Drosophila melanogaster: one gene and its partner. The protein of the gene in region 2 purifies or fractionates together with the protein of the main gene of each other region. This does not show direct contact. Each region holds a gene or a part of one and is shown on either strand. Other genes may lie near its edges.

Evidence for each region. The genes of interacting proteins can lie anywhere in the genome.
Region 1: the proteins of CG2065 (region 2) and Kdsr purify together in Drosophila melanogaster (affinity purification with mass spectrometry, with the first as the bait; one large-scale study listed by BioGRID). This does not show direct contact.

What each region holds. Positions count from the first base shown.
Region 1 is NT_033777.3:25,260,408-25,264,449, reverse strand, and holds Kdsr (3-ketodihydrosphingosine reductase), read left to right. Parts: upstream 1-1,951; 5' UTR 1,952-2,049; coding exon 2,050-2,266; exon of another isoform or gene 2,267-2,268; intron 2,269-2,336; coding exon 2,337-2,905; intron 2,906-2,969; coding exon 2,970-3,194; 3' UTR 3,195-3,487; downstream 3,488-4,042. Other genes in the region: GlnRS (Glutaminyl-tRNA synthetase), read left to right, coding at 1-1,112; CG11858 (uncharacterized protein), read right to left, coding at 1,189-1,505, 1,565-1,640.
Region 2 is NT_033778.4:7,661,843-7,665,815, forward strand, and holds CG2065 (uncharacterized protein), read left to right. Parts: upstream 1-1,943; 5' UTR 1,944-2,092; exon of another isoform or gene 2,093-2,121; intron 2,122-2,190; 5' UTR 2,191-2,197; coding exon 2,198-2,454; intron 2,455-2,510; coding exon 2,511-2,667; intron 2,668-2,732; coding exon 2,733-2,992; intron 2,993-3,053; coding exon 3,054-3,282; 3' UTR 3,283-3,427; downstream 3,428-3,973. Other genes in the region: CG2070 (uncharacterized protein), read left to right, coding at 195-274, 324-587, 657-1,073, 1,129-1,345.

The DNA of each region.
Region 1 (4,042 bases), on a different chromosome or scaffold from region 2:
TCACCCTGGAGGAGGGCAAGATGGACCCGGTGGCGTATCGCATTAAGTTTATCTCACACCACCGTACGGGCTCTGACTGGTGCATTTACCCCACGTATGATTATACTCATTGCCTTTGTGACTCTCTCGAGGATATAACCCACTCACTGTGCACCAAGGAGTTCCAGTCGAGACGATCCTCCTACTACTGGCTGTGCAACGCTTTGGGTATCTACTGCCCGGTGCAGTGGGAATACGGTAGGCTGAACATGAACTACGCACTTGTGTCAAAGCGCAAGATTGCAAAGCTGATCACGGAGCAGATTGTCCACGACTGGGACGATCCCAGGCTGTTTACTCTGACGGCTCTGAGACGTAGAGGCTTCCCAGCAGAGGCCATCAACAACTTCTGCGCCCAGATGGGCGTAACGGGTGCCCAGATCGCCGTCGACCCCGCCATGTTGGAGGCAGCAGTGCGGGATGTGCTAAATGTTACAGCTCCCCGTCGGTTGGTTGTCCTGGAACCGCTCAAAGTTACCATAAAGAATTTCCCTCATGCAGCGCCCGTGCAGCTAGAAGTGCCTGATTTCCCGCAAAACCCACAGCAAGGAACTCATAAGATCACCCTAGACAAGGTGATCTATATTGAGCAGGGAGACTTCAAGTTGGAGCCTGAAAAGGGATACCGTCGTCTGGCACCGAAGCAATCTGTGGGTCTCCGGCACGCGGGTCTCGTAATCAGCGTGGATGAGATAGTAAAGGATCCGGCGACTGGTCAGGTGGTGGAACTAATCTGCACCAGCCAACCTGCCGAGCAGGCCGAGAAGCCCAAGGCTTTTGTCCAGTGGGTATCGCAGCCGATACAGCTGGAAGTGCGTCTGTACGAGCAGCTCTTCAAGCACAAGAATCCCGAGGATCCCAACGAGGTGCCCGGCGGTTTCCTGAGCGACATCAGTGAGCAATCCATGTCGGTGGTGGTGGCATTCGCGGATCGGGCCCTAAACCAGGCCAAGGTTTACGACAAGTTCCAGTTCGAGAGGATTGGCTTCTTCTCCGTAGATCCTGACACCAGTGCGAACCACCTAGTGTTCAACCGCACTGTGGGATTGAAGGAAGATGCGGGCAAGAAGTGAACGGGATTTCGGGAACCCACAAATGAAAAGAAACAAAATCCGTATCACATTAAAATTCGATTTATAAAATCAATGTTCATTTCTTTCCCTCCACCATGATGATGTGGTAGCCAAACTTGGTCTTAATCGGGGGATCTGTGTACACGGGATTGTTGACAGTGGAGATGGGCAATGCGAAGGCGGCGTCCTGAAATGGGCCCACCATCGCTCCTCGGATCTGCCATCCGAGATCGCCGCCTTGTCGCGCCTTGTCCTCGCTGTAAGCAGCCGCTACCTCGGGGAATTTTTGGCCTGCCTTTAGCTTCTCCATCGCTTCGGTGATCTTGCCCTGCTTCTCGCACAAGATGTGACGAACCTTTACAGCATTGCCTCCCTTCTTCTCCTTACCGGCAGCTGCAGATGGCAAAATTCATTTGAAGGATAGGATTTTTGCTTTAGTCGTAAGCACTTACACTTGTCTTCGGCGGCTGGCTTTTTGCCACCTTTCCCTGCATCCTTTCCACTCTTCGCATCCTTTTTCGGTGGCATTTTCGTTCAATGTTTTTAAATTGCAAATTCGAAACAAGTAAACAGTTTGGTTGGAGCAGACACATGCGGTCAGTGCTGCGCACTAAGATCTAACCTTTTTTATCAAACCACTTTATTTCAAGATCTAGTAAATATTTATGTTGTTGATTCATATGGGTAGCCATTGCACATTTAATTTATTATGAATAAAATTAAACAAAAAGTTTTGAAGAACAAAATATTTGCTTGGCCGCTTATAGCCACATTTGCATCTCTGATGTGCGTCGAAAGCTTTCGATAGAAATCCGGTTTGCGTCAACGGTCACACTTAGATGCACTTTCTAATCAGACGTTTAACTTTGGGTGCAGATAAGCCAGCGTAAGAGATTAGAGAATCCGGGAATTATCGCACCCTCTTGAAATTGTCATCATGGAACTGAGCTGGGAGATAGTGTTCTGCGTGGGCATTGCGGTGCTGGTTCATGTTCTGGTCTACGTGTTCGTCATGGCCAAGAAACCGAGGAGCATTGTGGGTCGTCATGTGGTGGTCACCGGCGGCTCCAAGGGAATCGGACTCTGTCTGGCGGTGGAGTGCGCCATGAAAGGCGCCAATGTGACGGTGATAGCGCGCGACGAGAAAATGCTGAGTGAGTAATGTTCTGGCTAGGAAACCCCACCCAAAATACTCTTATCTTTGATATACGATCTTTTTTGCAGGCGGAGCAGTGGCTCTGATGGAAGTGATTCGCCAGCGGCCAGATCAAAAGTTCCAGTACAGAAGTCTGGACATAAGCGGCGATTATGACCAGGTGGCCAAAGTGCTTGGCGAGATCGAAGATAGCTTCGGCCCCATATACACTTTAATAAACTGTGCCGGAATGGCCATTTGCGGTGTGTTCGAGGAGGTCTCAGTCCAGGATGTCCACAAGCTGATGAACGTAAACTTCTTCGGCACCTATAACTGCACCCGTTATGTCCTGCCCAAAATGAAGAAAGCCGGCGACGGCATTATTGTAATCACTGCCTCACAGGCGGCTATGTTTGGCATCTATGGATACGGTCCTTACTCAGCCACCAAGTACGCCCTGAGAGCGATGGCTGAAACGATTGCAATGGAGTCTCGGGAGCACGGGGTCAGCGTCACTCTGGCCATGCCCTGCGATACGAATACACCCGGATTCGAGGAGGAGGAGAAGTCAAAGCCCAGGGAAACCAAAATAATCTCTGGTGGAGGAGGTCTCATAGAGCCGGAAGTTATGGCGAAAGCTATACTTAAGGATGCCCTGGTGAGTCTGTTACCCATAGTTAATATTCACGCAATCTAACTAGAATACTTTTTCTTATTTGTAGAAGGGAAAATTCACCTCAACTGTTGGAGCAGAAAGCTGGCTGATCACCACTTTGGGTGGAGCATTGCTTCCTTGGGATGGCTTCTTCACCAATCTTCTGCACGCCATAGTTTTGGGACCACTGCGAATAGTTAGCTACGCTCTGCACAAGTACTTCAATAGTGTTATACGCAAATGCGCTCGAGAGGATAAGGCCAAGGCCACATCGCAAGTGGAGTCCAAGTGAAATCTCTCTTGTCCCGCTGCCCTTAAAGTATTCCCAAGTGCCCATAATTAAATCACTTTTTTATAATTAATCAAAATGTGCGATTGTTTTGCATGGTTAGCCTATTCATATATTACAATTCCCGTATTATCATTCATTTTTATATATATATTTGTATGTGCATTTGAACTTTTTTATTATTGCCGTGCTAGGGTTTTAACTATTTGTATCGTGTTTTCTAGACTAGATGACGTGTGCTCGTTTTGTTGGTGTGTGCTTCGTTTTAACAAAAATAAAATGTATTTACTGTTCAGAAAATGAGTCGTTTTTAAATAACCACTTAGTGATTGTGCTAATCGCTAAAGCAATTTCACGCATTGGCCTAATCAAAATTGGTTTCGTATCTTAAAATCGAACAGCAAACTACATGCAGAAGCGATTAGATAAATACAAAAACCACGCCACAAAAGCCATCAACCTTTTCCAAATGGTTCAAAATTCAACGATAAATTATTTGGTTTTCTTTTGTCTTTCTTTATTCATAAGACGCACCCAGTGTACACTTCCTATAGTTTCAGTTTTCAATTCGCCTTTTTTTAACATTCTGTATAGTTAACGCTAACAAAAATTGTATAATCATAATGCAAAATATATATATATATATGTTTGTATATATATTTAGACATATTATTATAGCATCTTAGCACGATAATCAAAAATAATTGGATTCAAATACAGTAAGTCTACTTTTTGGATAGAAGAGTTATTAAATTATTGTTAGGATTAGGATGAAAAACTAAATTAGAGCTGATCTGCAGTATTTCGGTATCGTTTGGGATTTACAATAGATAGAAAGCATTGTAAATAAA
Region 2 (3,973 bases):
CATCCGTTTCCCTCGGCGACGCGGCAATCGTAAACCCTCCAACCTTAAACTTAAAACGATGTTTTATACCGGTCCACGTTAATGTTTCAAGTATGGACATTCCGAGGTTTTGATATTGCTCGTATAAAGAAATGTGTAAGGGGACTGGATCTGGCCAGTCGCCACTTGGAGCTGGTAGCATTCGGAGCGGAAAGATGAGTGCACCCACGGATTACCTGTTCTGCCCGCTGGCATATGGGTCAGCTCTTTCGGCCATCGGAATCTATCTGCTCCGGTGAGTTTTGTCCACTCTCAGTGATGGCCCTTTAACCTCAGCCAGTTAGACAATATATGCAGGGAGGTCAGTTCACCACGAAAACGAATGAGACCGGCAGAGTGGCGATTGTGACCGGCTGCAACCAGGGGATTGGCAAGGAGACCGTTCTGGAGCTGGCCCGCAGGGGAGCTACCGTGTACATGGCTTGTCGGGACATGAAGAAGTGCGAGAATGCCCGTCGGGAGATCATCAAAGCGACCAACAACCAGAACATCTTCGCACGCCAATTGGACCTGTGCTCCATGAAGTCCATTAGGAACTTCGCTGCTGGGTAAGCACATTCCTATTGACCTTAATGAATACACATATAAATAAAGGTACTCAATTTAATACTTTTTAGCTTTAAGCGGGAGCAAAACAAGCTTCACATTCTTATCAACAACGCCGGCATTATGGACTGCCCCAAAATGCTGACGGAGGACGGATTTGAAATGCAAATCGGAGTGAATCACATGGGCCACTTCCTCCTCACACTTCTGCTTCTCGATGTCCTGAAGAGTTCCGCGCCCAGTCGCGTTGTGGTCCTGTCCAGCATTGCTCACCGCTTCGGAAGGATTAAGCGTGACGACCTGAACAGCGAAAAGTCCTATGACAGAAAGATGGCCTACTGTCAGAGCAAATTGGCCAACGTCCTCTTCACCAGGGAGTTGGCGAAACGCCTGAGCGGAACAGGGGTCACGGTAAATGCCCTACATCCCGGAGTAGTAAACACGGAACTGTTCCGCAATACACCCTTTTTGGGTTCGTGGTTTGGAAAGTAAGTTTGCTGATTGCATCATCCCATCAGCTATTAACTTTCGGCTCGCCTTTAGATTGCTCATAGCCCCTATTATATGGATATTCATAAAGACGGCTAGGAATGGCGCACAGACGACCCTGTACGCTGCCCTGGATCCCAGTTTGGAAAAAGTATCTGGAAGATACTTCAGCGATTGCAAGCAGAAGCACGTGGGCTCGGCCGCCCAGTATGACGATGATGCCCAATTCCTATGGGCGGAAAGTGAAAAGTGGACGGGAATTAATATATGAGCAACTTTATGACTCTTTTAACTCTTACCCTGTATTGTTGAAATACATTTAATAGAATAAGCTAAATGAGCTAGATGTTCTGTTCAACTTTTGTAAAAACATTACAAACATTTTAAAAACATTTGGCTGGAAGTCTTGGAACCAGTTATCTGAGTAATCTTAAATAAACTGATTTAGTAATTGCATTTTTTAAATAAACATTTAGTTAACGTTGCCTTGGCGTCACTAGAATCTGAACTATTTAGCAATATATGATTTCGGTTTAAGTCATGAGCTGTCATAGAAGCAGGTGAAAAACTAATCGAAAATAATAGAATATAAATAAGAATAATAATAATAGAATAATATGGTATTATAAGATTAGGTATTAATTAAATTAGACTTGCAGATAGTTATTTAGCTTATCATGCATTTGCTCGACTTGCAATGAGGTTTTTATAAACTAGAAGCAAAAAGCTCTCAGCAAACCCCAAACATATTTCGTTCTCTCGCAGTTTCGAATCAAACTCATCGTGAGTAAGCGTTTTGTGGCTTTCGTGTATTTTGGAGCAGATAGCGTACATTTCGTATAAAAGGCAGTTCCAAACGGACGGGCAAACATTCATTGACAGAACCAGCAAGTGAAACGAACACAAACGGCGGCAAGATCTATACTGTATCCAAACAAAATGGGCTGCCTTACTAATTGCTTGTGCTGCCCCCTCATTTTTGGCCGTCCATTATCGGACTGGCTGCCTACTTGCTAAGGTATTTGCATGGAATAGTTCTACTGCTGAGTAATGATTAATACGCTCGTGAATTGCGGCCTGTGTTGAAATAGAGTGATAAGAATTAATGAATTTCAGAAAATACATGCAGGGCGGTCAGTTCACCAAGCAGACCGATGAGACCGGCAAGGTGTTCATTGTCACCGGTGCCAACACGGGCATTGGCAAGGAGACGGTCCTGGAGATTGCCAAGCGAGGAGGCACTGTGTACATGGCATGCCGGGATATGAACCGGTGCGAGAAGGCGCGCCAGGATATTATCAGGGAGACAAATAACCAGAACATATTCTCTCGAGAACTGGACTTGAGTTCGCTGGAATCCATTCGCAAATTCGCTGCTGGGTAAACGCAAACATGATAGATCGACGAATGCGTTACTGATTTCCCTCGTTTATTAGATTCAAGAAAGAGCAGGATAAGCTTCATGTCCTGATAAACAATGCAGGAGTTATGCACTGTCCCAGAACACTGACCAAGGATGGCTTCGAAATGCAGTTGGGAGTCAACCATATGGGACACTTCCTGCTCACCCACTTGCTGCTGGACGTATTGAAGGTATTTTGGGTACTCAGGACTTTCTTAGCACCTTGTTAACCAAACTCCCTGCTTAATCTCACTAGAAAACTGCACCCAGTCGCATCGTGAACGTTTCCAGCCTGGTGCACACCCAAGGTTTCATTAAAACTGCCGACCTAAACAGTGAAAAGTCGTACAGCAGAATCGGTGCCTATAGTCAGAGCAAGCTGGCCAACGTCCTGTTCACCCGGGAATTGGCCAAGCGCCTGGAGGGAACGGGGGTCACAACCAACTCCCTACATCCCGGTGCCGTGGACACGGAGCTGTCGAGGAATTGGAAGTTCCTGAAACACCCCTTTGCACAGTAAGATAGAAGACATAAGTGGGCACTACTTGAGTTTGATATTAACACTCGTATCGCTTAGGCTACTGCTCAAGCCCCTCCTGTGGGTACTCTTCAAAACCCCTCGCAATGGAGCGCAGACCACTCTCTACGCAGCCCTGGATCCTGCACTAAAGGATGTTTCCGGGCTCTACTTTAGCGACTGCCAGCCAAAGGAAGTGTCCGCAGCTGCCCAGGACGACAAGACTGGAAAGTTCCTCTGGGCGGAGAGCGAGAAGTGGACCGGCGTGAATTCAACCAAAGTTGATTAAGCAACCATTAGTTTATCCCTCGCCATTTCATAATTTATTATTTTAATAGCTTATCATAATGAAGACTAACGCAAAATGTAATAATTTATGTTTGAATTGTAGAATTCTTACGGATTCTACAAGCTGAAAATAAAGAAATGCTCCCAAAAAAGCTTTACCTAATCTAAAATTTGTATTTTGAGATCAACATTGTTGCATTTCTGTGTTCAGTACTAAAGAAAAATGGTCAAATTCTTTTGTTTTTTTTGTAAAAGTGATGGAATCAATTTGGATGATTCATGCTTTATTTTTGTACCCGTTATTCCTGGAGTAGGAGGGTATACTAAATTAGTTGGAAAGTATGTATGTAACATAACGAATCAGTTAGTTCCCTATATCTCGACGTTCAAACGGACGGATATGGCTGGATGGATCGTTTTGACTAGTGTTGCTGATCAAGTCTAAATATAAACTTTATTCTATATGTTACATACTGTTCAGCGAACCTATTATACCCTTTTACTCCACGCGTAATATACCCATTGAGTAAATATAAACATCAATGGAATTGCTTTTATTTGTTTGAATGCTTTCCACTATCATAACATATTATTGAGAATTCGTTTTCTCTTGACCTTCGTTAAGAATCTCTCTCCCGACGTTCTCCATTTCGTCAGGTTCTCACTCCGAATTAGCGATAATATATGTTTGT